2 linked regions of the Arabidopsis thaliana genome follow. The protein of the gene in region 1 interacts with the protein of each later gene in a pairwise test. Each region holds a gene or a part of one and is shown in the gene's direction. Other genes may lie near its edges.

Region 1 (7,447 bases):
TAATTTTCCCAACAAATGCTGGATTTTAAGCCTTCTTCCCTTGATTCATATATCACTAATTATTGTACAATAATTAGTGATGGTGTTTTGCATGGTCGCAGAAAGCTGGAGTAGACAGTGATTATGCCATTGTGAGTAAACCAGTCGAGGATGGAAATGCTAATTCCGAGTATGATGTTGAAAATTCTATGGCAACTTTTGCAACTGGTGCTCAAAGTTTGATGGATGATGGACCAGTTGGCCCTGGAAGCAGAAAGCCGGCTTCTCCATATGATTTGCATATAATGACAGAGCCATACGGAGTCCCAAGTATGGTGGAAATTTTTCACTTCTTGTGCTCTTTGTTAAATGTGGTCGAACATGTTGGTATGGGATCCCGATCAAACACCATAGCATTTGACGAAGATGTGCCTCTGTTTGCGTTGAACTTGATCAACTCAGCCATTGAATTGGGTGGATCGTCCATCCGCCATCACCCAAGATTGTTAAGCCTAATTCAAGATGAGTTATTTCGTAACTTGATGCAGTTCGGATTGTCGATGAGCCCCCTGATTCTTTCGATGGTTTGCAGCATTGTGCTCAATTTGTATCAACATCTACGAACTGAACTCAAGTTGCAGCTTGAGGCATTCTTTTCATGTGTGATTCTAAGGCTTGCTCAAGGAAAATATGGGCCCTCGTATCAGCAGCAAGAGGTTGCTATGGAGGCTCTTGTGAATTTTTGTAGGCAGAAGAGTTTTATGGTTGAAATGTATGCCAATCTCGATTGTGATATAACTTGCAGCAACGTGTTTGAGGAGCTGTCTAATCTTCTCTCGAAGAGCACATTTCCTGTGAACTGTCCTTTGTCTGCAATGCACATTCTTGCTCTGGATGGCCTAATCGCTGTTATTCAGGGAATGGCCGAGAGGATAAGTAATGGATTGACTGGTTTGGATTTGGGTCCTGTCCATCTTGATGAGTACACGCCTTTCTGGATGGTTAAGTGTGACAACTATAGTGATCCAAATCACTGGGTTTCATTTGTCCGCAGGAGAAAATATATCAAGAGAAGGTTAATGATTGGAGCAGATCATTTTAACAGGGATCCAAAGAAGGGGTTAGAGTTTCTCCAAGGCACACATCTTTTGCCTGACAAACTCGATCCCCAAAGTGTTGCTTGCTTTTTTAGATATACTGCTGGGCTTGATAAGAACCTTGTTGGGGATTTTCTTGGAAATCATGACGAATTTTGTGTTCAAGTTCTCAATGAGTTTGCTGGGACTTTCGATTTCCAGTACATGAATCTGGATACTGCACTCCGACTCTTCTTGGAAACCTTCAGGTTGCCTGGAGAATCCCAGAAAATACAGAGAGTGCTTGAGGCGTTCTCTGAAAGATACTATATGCAATCTCCTGAGATTCTGGCCAACAAGGATGCTGCTCTTGTGTTATCATACTCTATTATCATGCTTAACACTGATCAGCACAACGTTCAAGTAAAGAAAAAGATGACAGAAGAGGATTTCATTCGCAATAATAGGCATATCAATGGAGGAAATGATCTACCTCGAGAATTCTTGTCTGAACTCTTTCACTCCATCTGCAACAATGAGATCAGGACTACTCCAGAACAAGGTGCAGGCTTTCCTGAAATGACTCCCAGCCGTTGGATTGATTTGATGCATAAATCAAAGAAAACTGCTCCATATATTCTGGCTGATTCAAGGGCTTATCTTGACCATGATATGTTTGCTATCATGTCTGGTCCAACCATTGCTGCCATATCAGTCGTTTTTGACCATGCAGAACATGAAGACGTTTACCAGACATGCATCGATGGATTCTTGGCTATAGCTAAAATTTCTGCCTGTCATCATCTTGAAGATGTGCTTGATGATCTGGTTGTCTCTCTCTGCAAATTCACAACTCTGTTGAATCCATCATCTGTTGATGAACCCGTTCTTGCATTTGGTGATGACGCAAAAGCAAGGATGGCTACTATCACAATTTTTACCATTGCAAACAAATATGGAGATTATATACGTACGGGTTGGAGGAACATATTGGACTGTATCTTACGGCTACATAAACTTGGACTTCTGCCAGCTCGTGTAGCCAGTGATGCAGCTGATGAATCAGAACATTCATCTGAGCAAGGGCAAGGAAAGCCCCTCGCGAATTCCCTATCTTCAGCTCATCTACAGTCAATGGGAACTCCGAGGAGATCTTCCGGATTGATGGGAAGATTTAGTCAGCTTCTTTCACTTGATACAGAAGAGCCAAGATCACAGCCTACTGAGCAACAGCTTGCAGCTCATCAACGAACACTTCAAACAATTCAGAAATGTCACATTGACAGCATATTTACCGAAAGCAAGTTTCTACAAGCTGAATCTTTGTTGCAGCTTGCGCGTGCTCTCATTTGGGCTGCAGGTAGGCCACAGAAAGGAACCAGTTCTCCAGAGGATGAGGATACTGCGGTTTTCTGTCTGGAATTGCTTATTGCAATCACTCTAAACAACAGAGACAGGATCGTTCTCCTATGGCAAGGCGTCTATGAACATATAGCTACAATTGCTCAGTCAACGGTGATGCCCTGCAACTTAGTGGATAAAGCTATTTTTGGTCTACTTCGGATCTGCCAGAGACTACTTCCTTATAAAGAAAGCCTAGCTGATGAGCTTTTGAGATCTCTTCAGCTTGTGCTGAAACTGGATGCACGTGTTGCAGATGCCTATTGTGAGCAAATTGCAATTGAAGTCAGCCGTCTTGTGAAAGCCAATGCTAATCACATCAGGTCTCAGGCGGGTTGGAGAACAATCACATCCTTACTCTCCATCACAGCGCGGCACCCAGAAGCTTCTGAATCAGGATTTGATGCCGTATCCTTTGTTATGTCTGAAGGAACTCACCTGTATCCAGCCAATTATGTACTCTGTGTTGATGCTGCAAGACAGTTTGCTGAATCCCGCGTGGGACAGTCCGAACGCTCTATCCGTGCCCTTGATCTAATGGGAGATTCATTAGAATTTTTGGCTAAATGGGCTCTCTCAGCTAAGGAAAACATGGGAGAAGAAGATTTCGGGAAGATGTCACAAGATATTGGGGAAATGTGGTTAAGGCTTGTTCAAGGACTAAGAAAAGTGTGTTTAGACCAGAGGGAGGATGTCCGAAACCACGCTTTACAGTCATTACAGAAGTGTTTAGGCGGAGTAGACGGAATCAACCTAGCTCATAGCATGTGGTCTCAATGCTTTGACAAAGTAATCTTCACGGTTTTGGATGACTTACTTGAGATAGCTGCTGGGTCACAGAAAGACTACCGAAACATGGAAGGCACATTGCTTCTCGCAATCAAACTTCTCTCCAAAGTGTTTCTTCAGCAACTCCAAGAGCTATCTCAGTTATCAACCTTCTGCAAGCTATGGCTCGGTGTTCTAACTCGAATGGAGAAATACATGAAAGTGAAAGTAAGAGGCAAAAAAAGCGACAAGCTACAAGAATCAGTACCAGAGCTTCTCAAAAACATATTGCTGGTGATGAAGACGAAAGGCGTGCTATTGCAAAGAAGTGCTCTTGGTGGAGATAGCTTATGGGAGCTAACATGGCTTCATGTGAATAACATTGCACCGTCTATGCGACTGGAGCTATTCCCTGATCAAGAATCCTCACAACTTGGTGATGATGAAACCGTATCGAATGGCTTATCTTCTCCTGAAAACACAACTGGTTCGTGACCTTACAAGTGAGATCATTAGGTGAGTTTCTTTCGAATATCCATATAAGTACTGTGAAAGTGAAAGCTTCTTATGTAACACCTCTCTACGTTTTTTTTTGTAATATATAAGTCTTTCTAATTCAGAGACTCGTATTAATTAAGCAAGTTTCTTAATTACGACTTTGTTAATCACGGACCTTTGGAACGAGGTAGAAGGTCTTGAACATGTGTGGAACCCACCAAAGGAAAAATATCAGTAGATTCAGGAGAGTTGTTAAATTTTGCCTCCACGAGTTTTTTTCTTTTCTTCTTGTTGAGTCGTTTACGTCACGTCGAGAATTTTCTCTTTTCCCGAGAAAATTAAGAAAGGATCGTTTGATTTTCTAAGAAGGGAAAGATAAACAGTGAATTAGAAAGAGAAGGAAGTTTCAATGGAATCGCTAACATCTATTTCTCCTTCCATAATTCTTCCTCCGGCCACCACTACTACGATCCCCGTTTCAACTTCACGATCAGTGTTGATTCGTCTTCCTTCACGCCGTTCTTCTTACCTTTTCGGCTTGTCCAGCTCCGGGAGACGGATTTCGATTTCTAGAAGAAGACACTTCGTTAGCTGTAAATCGACCGGCGGCGGAGGAGGAGGATCAGATAAGCTTGGTGGCGATGAAGAAGAGAGCGAGGAAGTTGAGAAGGCGCTTCACTTGGATGGTACGATCCCTGGGACTTCCGATGAGTTTGTAAGGCAAGTTTCGTCGCGTGCTTACGACATGCGTCGGAAACTTGAGCAGACGTTTGATTCCACTAGCTATGACGGTATAATCTCTATCGCTCTCAATTCCTGCGTTTACTTTGATTTTGGTGATGCAAAATTAATACTTTCGTTGATGCAACTAACTTGATCAGAGTTTCTTAAAGATTGTCTAGGAAGTTTGGGAACTGTAGTAGTTTGAAATTCCCTTAGTGCCTTGTTTTTGTTAACAGGAGTCAAATCGTTTTGTTGAACAATGTCAGAATTTAGTCACTGTGTCACACACAACCGGTGAAGAAGCTCTCCATTGATAGATGTAGTGTTAGTTATGATTCAAAAGTTTGTGTTCTGCATACCATTTCTTTAGTTCCCCAGGAGAAGAGTGCTTCAGCTGAACTATGATGAGGAAAATTGTTCATTTCTAGATTCCACTCTTACAGTAAGATTGCAAGCACGGTTTTATCATCTCATCTTTCACATAGTGCTGATGCATAGGAATATCAAAGCAATAGGAACATAAGTGTTTTATTCAATTTAAGCTTGTATTCATCTAAAGTTAATAAATTGATGTTGTTCCTTTAGTGCTCTGTATCTTTGACTGAGTGATTTCGTTGAGAACCATTTCTCTCACTGTGGCTTCTCACAATCTTAGTGTTGGAGTCCAACCCATGGAGAGGAGATTCGAAGCCTGTATATGTATTAACACATAGAGAAAACCAGATATGTACCATGAAAACAAGAACAAACCACAGGTTCCAACTCTATTCCACTCAAGTTTTTTTTTATAGTTTTAGTTTTCTTCTCCCTATGACATTAGCAATCCTTATAAACAGTGAAGTAGAAAAAGAGCTTGGACTGTTGTTCCCTAGTAGGATCAGCAACCAGACAAAGCAGGCTAGACCCAAAACTAAATTCGATATGCTCGTAGAAGACATTCGAGATGGAGTACTGGTAAGTATTCTCACTGAATCACTTTCAAGACCTTATGAAACCCAGACAACGTGATATGCCTAGTTTTTATCTCAAAGGTTTTCGAAGATGTGAATGAGGCTGTTAGATACTGTGACCTATTACAAGGGGGAGGGAAAGGGTGTGAAGGTGTCGCTGAGATTGAGGCCTCCTCTGTAAGATTATGAGACAAAGATATCATCTAATTCTAGAACTTGTTGCCTTTAAACATTTGAAATGATCTGCTTTTTTTTTTTTGAATAGGTTTTTGATCTTTGTCGGAAAACAAGGTCTCTGGCAGTGCTCTTCCGCCGTGGAAGAACACCACCTACACCTCAGACGCTGGAACGTAATCTCGGATCCCGGAAGCGTTCTCTTGAGGACTTGAGGGATAATAAATAGCTTGTGAAACAATGTATTAATTTTACTTGCAATAATTGAAAATACTTTGTATAGACTAAACAGTAATTAACCGTGGGTGATACTGTGTATATATATAAAATGCATTTTACTTGTGCTCCATAACTTTTTTTTGTTCCTTATAATTCTCTTGAAGTTGCGCTCTTTTCTTTGAAGGCTTTAAAGCTAACACTAGTAGGTAATGTATTACTTGGTCAATCAACATGTGAGTATTTATAGTATCTATGATTAGTTGACAAAAAAGACCATTGTATATTGAACTTCTTAACATGAAAAATAGTGACTTTTTTTTGTTTAGATAAAAATAGATATGCTAAAGGCATATGCTAGTGTATTATTAATAAAAATCATGTGATAGATGTGATTCCATGTTATCCGGATCGTTGACTTGACTTAGTACCCATAACGTTTATTATATAATTCATATAGCATTTTATGATTGTCAAATTTATATTTATACATATGATAGACTATTATGTCAAAAAGACAGGTAAAGCCACTTTGTTTACTTATTCTTTCTTAACTCAAAACTCCAAAGGGTAAAATCAAGGTGACCATTACTCTTTCAGTTTCAAAAGATTGTATTATTGTAACAAGGTGACCATTACTCTTAAAATTTATTCAAAAATAACCAAATCTAAACTAAAACGTAACTAAAATTTGATATTATTCATGAAATTCTAAGAACAAATCCAACATGATCCCTTAATAATTTCCCTTTAGTAGTCTAGCCTTCTTAGTCGGTCACTAATAATAAAGAGTAAAGAGACCAAAAGAGAGAAGTCTTAGATAACGGTGACAGAGTTAAAAAAGAACTCACTAAAATAGACGGAGGAAAAAGTCATCAATTCAACTTGACGGCTAAGTTAACGGCGATTATCTTCGTTCACACAAGCAACACAAAAGAGAAAACATGAATCATCTCTCTCTCCCTCTCTCCGGTTCCACAGTAAAGAATTGATTCCTCAATCTCACGCGGAAGCAAAATCCAAATTCTAAAATTCTAAGAAACCACTCTAATCACATCGCTCTATCGATCAAAATCGAAACCCTTATTCAAAAATCTCTTATTTTTTCCATTTTTCTCTCAATCATCTGAATCGGTTTTGAGATGAGCTCCGATTCACCGGCGGCTGGAGACGGTGGCGAACAAGCCGCTGCGGGAACAAGCGTGCCTTCACCTTCATACGACAAACAAAAGGAGAAGGCACGTGTGAGTAGAACATCTCTGATACTATGGCACGCGCACCAAAACGACGCAGCTGCAGTTCGGAAACTCTTGGAGGAAGATCCGACTTTGGTTCACGCTAGAGACTATGACAAACGAACGCCTCTCCACGTGGCGTCGCTTCATGGATGGATCGATGTTGTTAAATGTCTGCTTGAGTTTGGTGCTGATGTCAATGCTCAGGATAGGTGGAAGAACACGGTAAAGCCTCTTCCTTTTTATTTTGAATTTTGGGTTGCTTCTTCAAGTTTCTTAACTTTGTTATGATTCTGATCTAAAACTTATTGTTGTATTTGTGGGTATTTGCAGCCACTGGCTGATGCAGAAGGAGCTAGGAAGCAGAAAATGATTGAACTGCTGAAATCTCATGGTGGTTTGTCTTATGTGAGTTTTTGAATTCCCT
Region 2 (7,062 bases), on another chromosome or scaffold:
GTATGGAGGAAGCATTATTCACAGTTTGTGACTTACTTTGATGTTAAAATAAGAATCTATATAACGTTTTTGTTGTTTTGTGATTACGGTTGGGCAGAAAATCTATACGATGTGTTTGTGAACATAAGAGATGATGAAGCAGAACACTGCAAGACAATGAGAGCTTGTCAGACTCTAGGCAGTCTGCGTTCTCCACACTCCATTTTAGAAGATGATGATACTGAAGAAGAATCAGGGTGTGTTGTTCCTGAGGAGGCTCATTGCGAAGGTATTGTAGACTGCCTCAAGAAATCCATTACAAGTTAATAAATTAGAAAGTAAACTAAAAAAGATTATTTGTATCAGCTCATGAACAATAGATATAATCCCATATACTTGGGAATAAAGGAATAATGTGAAATTCCCATCGTTGTGCTAGTGTGTGAGAGAATCAAATACCCTAATGATGTAAATGTACTTTGATGAGCTTAAGTCGTTGTAGACCATTTTATCCATACTACTAGCCTTTGTGGTTGCATTGTCGGTTTCTTCAATTCTTATTTCACAGGAGTAAAAAAAATGTTTAAAAGTACAAAATCATTGAATGTATCATTCTCTCAAAAAGCATATTGGTATTAGCGTTTAGAATCTCTATATCCCACACTTTTATTTTTATTGGTTTTGTTGGGGAGAGTGTGGCGCAAAGACGACGTCGTCTATGCGAACATTTCACGTGGGAAAAGCCTTGATTCATGCGCCTTCTTTAATTTTTCTTCTTTTTTTTTTTTTTTTTTTGTCTCTTCTTTGCCTTTCACTTTTTAAAATGATTTTCCGCGGGTTTAATAACAAAAATGTTTTCCCGCCAGAAAGGTTTTACCAAAAAACCATGTTCCGGTTATAGCACAGGTAAGAGAATTCATCAGTCTAGTATAATTAGCAGTAATCAAATTCGAATACTTTGATCGTCGCTTTTATTTCAGAGTTAGCGTTACATTAATAGTACCTTTATTCGATTGATGATTTGTTTAATCTTTAATAGGGTTTGAACTCCGATGGAGGACCTTTTTTGTTGGTAATATTCCCTTCGTTTCACAATATAAGTTGTTTTAACTAAAAATACGTATATTAAGAATATTTATTTTTAAAATGTTCAACCAATTATAAAAAAAACTGTAGAATATAAATAATCATAAAGTATTAAAATAATATATAATTTGCATAGAAACTTGAAAACAACTTATATTATAAAACAAAAAATTTGGTATAAAACAACTTATATTATGAAACGGAGGGAGTATAAACTTAAGTACTAATTCGATTTTGTTTCTATTCGAGACCTTGAAGACTTTTTTATTTAATTTTAAAACTAAGTCGTACAGTTACAGAAACAGCATTAAATTTTTCCTCTTAAGTAAATTTATTTTTTCTCTTTCTATCAGAAATTCAGAAGAACTAACATTATAGTTGCCCCCATTGCGTACACTGTACATCATTTCTCGGTAAATTACACATAATTATAAGTTGATTAACCTTTTAAGTTTTAAACAATGATGTAAGTAACTTATTAAAAATTGGTTTTTAAAAATTGAAAGTTATATACTCAAGTTGGAAAAATATTTTACAAATATACTCGATTCCACTACTACTGTAATTTTGTGTGGAATACCAGTCAAACAGAATCGTTATAACTGTTAAAAATTAGTAAAACTGTATAAAGTAATTTTAATTCGCGGGAAATCAATATTCGGAAGCAACTTTAACAAAAAAAATAAAGAAATGTGAAGAGAAAAAAAAAACTCTGAAAACTTCCTTTATAATGTCATCATCACTGCGAGACCCAAAGATCTAAACAGTTTCTCTCTCTCCCTCACAGGGCTCTCTCATGGCGGAGCTAATCTGTCTATTTCACTGGTGATTCTGTTTCACTATCTGAGAATTTGTTTAGAGTTTCCGTTACCGAGTCGATGATGAGTGAACTCGATCTCGGAACGAGTCAGAGGATGACGGAAACACACCGCACGACGACGACGTTTCTTGATTTGCTCCGACGACAGATGAGCGGTCACGATCTCACCAGAAGGAAACGGACGTTAAAAGAACGGTTGAGATTCAAATGCATCGGATGCTGTGGTCCAACCTGGAATCTCCGTCTAACTAACAACACCACTCTTCACAGTCCAACCTCAAGAGACGACGAAATCGAAGAGTTACAAATTGAAACCGGACTCGTTCTCGAATCGGATCATGGATCGGGTACGGGTATGAATCTCGCGACAGCGTTAGAAGCGGAGAGGTATAACCGTGGAGAATCGACGGAGGCGGAGGCAGATATGACGCCGAGGAGAGTTTCGTTGATGAGATTGTTGGAAGAGACGGCGGAGAAAATCGTTGATGACGACGGGAAAGAAACGGAGATATTAACGGCGTCTATTGGGACGTTAACGGGTAATGATTCGGTGTGTTGCGTGTGTATGGGAAGAAAGAAAGGCGCTGCGTTTATTCCATGTGGTCATACTTTTTGCAGAGTGTGCTCTAGAGAATTGTGGCTGAACCGTGGATCGTGTCCTCTTTGTAACCGTCCGATCATTGAGATACTCGATATTTTCTGAAAACGATCGGACGGCTAAAAGTTCTCGATCCACGTGAGTAAGTGAGGTGATCCCTAGATACGTTTCCAAAGTTTTAACTACGGTTTGTGTACTTTGTACGTTTCTTTTGGTTATTGAAGAAGATGATGTAAATGCAAAAAAGAATACAAGAGGTTTTTTGTTCACGAGGCCCATTTAGTCTATTCAAGCCCAGTAAACCGTTATTTTGGATTTTATCTAGCCTAAACAATGCTCGCCTCACACCGTCGAGTGGATTCTTGGCCGTTGATCTTGTCTCTCACGTGGCAGTATCGTAGTCGAATGTACATGATCTATGTGGAATAGTCGATATTATCCCTCTTGGTGTGAGTTTGGTAGTTGATGAAAGCAAAACATTTACGTAACAATGTCTATAAAATCAGTACAGGTCTATTCTTGTTCACTAGCTTCGAAATTTTAGTCGAAGAAACAAAAAAAAATGGCGACGGTACAATTGTCCACCCAATTTAGCTGCCAAACCAGAGTTTCAATCTCACCGAACTCTAAATCTATCTCCAAGCCTCCGTTTCTGGTACCGGTGACCTCAATTATTCACCGCCCGATGATCTCCACCGGAGGAATCGCTGTTTCCCCCCGTAGAGTTTTCAAAGTCCGAGCCACAGATACGGGAGAGATAGGATCAGCTCTATTGGCGGCGGAGGAAGCAATTGAAGACGTGGAAGAGACGGAGCGGCTAAAGAGATCGCTCGTGGATTCGTTGTACGGAACAGATCGAGGTTTAAGCGCATCGAGCGAAACCAGAGCTGAAATCGGAGATCTAATCACACAGCTCGAGTCTAAGAACCCTACTCCAGCTCCGACGGAAGCTCTTTTCCTTCTCAACGGCAAATGGATCCTCGCGTAAGTTTTTTTCCGGTGAAAACTTTCTCTTGTAGTCCTGTAGATAGCATCATTCGTAGGATTCTGGATTCAAATGGTAGATCTCGTGCTGCTTTTGATTTGGTTAAACCTCTTTTGCAGCTACACATCGTTCGTGAATTTGTTCCCGTTGCTATCACGAGGAATCGTACCGTTAATAAAAGTCGATGAGATCTCTCAAACCATTGATTCAGATAACTTCACCGTCCAGAACTCTGTTCGTTTCGCTGGTCCTTTAGGTACAAACTCGATTAGCACCAACGCTAAATTCGAAATCCGAAGCCCTAAACGCGTCCAGGTAAATTGACCATTCATCGACCATGATCTGATATCAACATCTTGAAACGTTTTCAGTAATGTTTTGGATTTCATTTTTCTTGCAGATTAAGTTTGAGCAAGGCGTAATTGGGACGCCTCAGCTAACGGATTCTATTGAGATACCGGAATATGTAGAGGTTCTTGGTCAAAAGATTGATCTTAACCCGATCAGAGGGTTACTTACCTCGGTGCAAGACACAGCCTCGTCTGTGGCTAGAACCATATCAAGCCAACCACCGTTGAAATTCTCTTTGCCGGCGGACAATGCGCAGTCTTGGCTACTCACGACTTATCTAGACAAAGACATTCGGATCTCTAGAGGAGACGGTGGAAGTGTCTTTGTGCTTATCAAAGAAGGAAGCCCTCTCTTGAATCCTTGAACTTGGTCAAAATATATGTCTCTCTCTTGTCGTTGTGTTAAGTGAGACAAATATATAGTGTGGTTGTAGGTTTACTTCTTAATCGTTGTTATTAACTCGATGATAAGGAATATAATGTTTTTAACTACTACAGAACATCTCGTCTATGGCCTATGAAATGTGTCTCAGATTTTCACAAAATTCAAGTGTTTTAGAATTTCATTCTCTTCTGTTTGATTTAGAAAGTAAACTATGTACCGATGCAAGAGTTACATGAGAATTATCCCGGCAACGTCGGGTCTTTCGATAAGAATCGAGATGATGACTGTCATTTTGTTGTCTAATTGGTTCACTCTGTGCTTGATGCCTATCATTTTTTTTTTGAGGGACTCAGTCACTGGAAATGGTTCTATTAGTATGGTATGGGATACTTGTTAGTATAGTACTCGAGGTTTCTAGCATATGCCATAGAGTTTCTCAATATCTGAAGCCCTATTTTGAATGTGTTTGTTCTTTCTGTAATTTATTTAGAGACCATCAGGTAAAGGAAAAACTCAATTCAGACAAGAACATAAGAAACCTAAATTGACCAAATTTCTCATATAACTGAAAGTTTGAAACTGTGTTTTGTTATGTACAGTTTGGTGGAGGGTTTGATGCGGAGAGCATGAATCAGAGCCAAAACTGAAAGTGGAGGAGACAATAATAATGATAACAATGAAGAATAATCTGTAAACTGAGTTTTATTACTTTCTTTTTCTTCTATGTCTCTCTTTATCATTGTAGCACATATTTGCTATATAGGATTTGAATGGTTGCAACGGTTAAGGCGGACAAATTCGTTTGCGGTTTGAACTGTTTTTTATTTATCATTCATATTTGTATAGGTGCGAATTTAAAAAAGAAAAAAAAAACCACTGCAGATTAACTACGGACTGTTTTTACATACAAATATAATTAGTTCGTAACGGTTTATTGCCCATTTTAAAAATAGAGCGGACTAAATCGCTGACGTATTTGTCCGCTCTAACTACCGTTAGTAATAATATAGTTTGTTGTCAAAAATACATTCTTTTGTTTAGGTTTGCAGATGATTTTTTTTATTTTCTATTACTATATTTTAGTCTTTTAGATGATAAATTCGCAATAAATTTGTAATCTGCCAAACTACTGAAAAAAGAGAAAATAATTGTGGTTTGTCTTAAAAGTCACTTGTTTTAAGACATATCATGTGCAGCCATGCAAAGTGTATCTCCCGAATCTTCTTCACTCATTAATGTTTTACAGTATTTTTATAAATTTTATCATGTTAAGTACAAAATAAAAATAAGAATGGTCCATTAGAATTACAGCATATAACAACAAGGACTAGTTCTCTTTTGTAATTTTGTAATTTTATGCAAACGTATAAAAGAAAAATAATCGTGTTTTATTTTTGGAAAGGAATTAAGTATTTCTGCCACCACCTAACAAACAGGGTCCATTTCTTGGGTCTAAAACTTTTCACGGTCAAACAAGATATACATTGATTACTATTATTGTATTCGTATTATCTAAAACACTATCATAATAATAGTAACTTTCATCATCCGACCTTCTTCGTATAATAATTTAAATAAATTTATGGATCTAAGACTAAGATGACAACCACTAAAAAAAGCAACTATAGTCCATATATATCAGACTACTTTTGGCATTTTATCAGTATATGACACCTAAAAATTACAAAAATTATAACGAACACAAACGTAACACAATACATGTCTACATCATTACGTATTTGTGTTTGAATTTTTTTTTATAAAAAAAAAACTGAAAAAGTTTAAAGTGAAGGAACAAAGAAACAAAACAACGACACAATTTAGACAGCTAGTTTTATTGCAAAAGCCAAAGCTTTATTTTGATACCCCCAAAGTAGAAGGCAAACACTCAAACATGGATGTGAGATGAAATCATAAACATGCAAATAGCAAAACACACAGACACACAAATTAAGTGACGTCGTTTTCTATCATCTGCAATCACATGCTTTCCTTTTCAGCACCGCTCTTTGCAGCATCATAATCACGGCAGCACCAACATATCCCTTGACCACCACCAACATTTAAGCATTCGCCTCCATGATACTTGCTGTCCACTGCCCTGCATGGTACATCGCAAGTAGAGATCGTGTCCGCGAGTCTACATAAACCCTTTCGTAAGTCACACTTTCCCCATCCATTCACTTCTGTATGATCCATACAAAGAGACAATATTTCATAAACATGTATTTATTTTAGATCTTTGGATCAAAATATTTTGGTCTTTTTTACGTACCTATAGGAGATATGAGGAGGATGGAGAGACAAACGACTATTGCAAATGTGCTCAGCTTTAAGCTCCCCATTACTTGCTGATCTCTTAGTTCTTCTTAGCTTCTTTCTTTTTTAGCAATAGTTAGTTGGGAGAGAGCTTAACCAAACATGCAATTTTATTGTATTCTATATGTAAACTCGCACGCTAGCAACTGCGACCCGTAATATACGGTTAGCGACTTCGATCAGATTTTACTATATATTGTTCGTTTTACTATTGCTGTAACTGGTCGTCGTTTAGGTTGTTCGTTTTACTGTCGTGTGACTAGCTGTTACGACTTCATTGACATATGTTTTCTTAAATCAAATTCTTAAAATTTATATATAGTTGTAAATTGTATAACTAATTTCACTCCGATCCGGTTCCCGAGAAGATTTTCAAATCTCAGATCTGGATGCATGGAGGAGATATTTTAAAAATAGTTGGATTATTATACTTCTTTGTAAGTCGTTCCATTCACTATTTCCTTTTAGATGCGATCAGATATTTATTATACCAACTCGAATTGTATATTACTATATTATGACAGCTAAAAAAACGTTAAA

What was found. Proteins that work in one complex are often made in the same cells at the same time.
Region 2: the proteins of AT1G13990 (region 1) and AT4G22240 interact in a two-hybrid assay, tested with the Arabidopsis thaliana proteins (one large-scale study listed by BioGRID).

What each region holds. Positions count from the first base shown.
Region 1 is NC_003070.9:4,790,679-4,798,125, forward strand, and holds AT1G13990 (plant/protein), read left to right. Parts: upstream 1-4,077; 5' UTR 4,078-4,131; coding exon 4,132-4,513; intron 4,514-4,603; coding exon 4,604-4,641; intron 4,642-4,815; coding exon 4,816-4,887; intron 4,888-5,100; coding exon 5,101-5,138; coding exon of another isoform or gene 5,139-5,200; intron 5,201-5,236; coding exon 5,237-5,399; intron 5,400-5,476; coding exon 5,477-5,572; intron 5,573-5,660; coding exon 5,661-5,798; 3' UTR 5,799-5,916; downstream 5,917-7,447. Other genes in the region: GN (sec7 domain-containing protein), read left to right, coding at 102-3,719; VIK (VH1-interacting kinase), read left to right, coding at 6,928-7,245, 7,354-7,428.
Region 2 is NC_003075.7:11,763,211-11,770,272, reverse strand, and holds AT4G22240 (Plastid-lipid associated protein PAP / fibrillin family protein), read left to right. Parts: upstream 1-2,850; 5' UTR 2,851-3,045; coding exon 3,046-3,467; intron 3,468-3,587; coding exon 3,588-3,783; intron 3,784-3,868; coding exon 3,869-4,183; 3' UTR 4,184-4,470; downstream 4,471-7,062. Other genes in the region: IM (Alternative oxidase family protein), read left to right, coding at 98-306; AT4G22250 (RING/U-box superfamily protein), read left to right, coding at 1,944-2,588; AT4G22235 (defensin-like protein), read right to left, coding at 6,184-6,389, 6,479-6,548. UniProt on the Arabidopsis thaliana protein: Probably involved in light/cold stress-related jasmonate (JA) biosynthesis.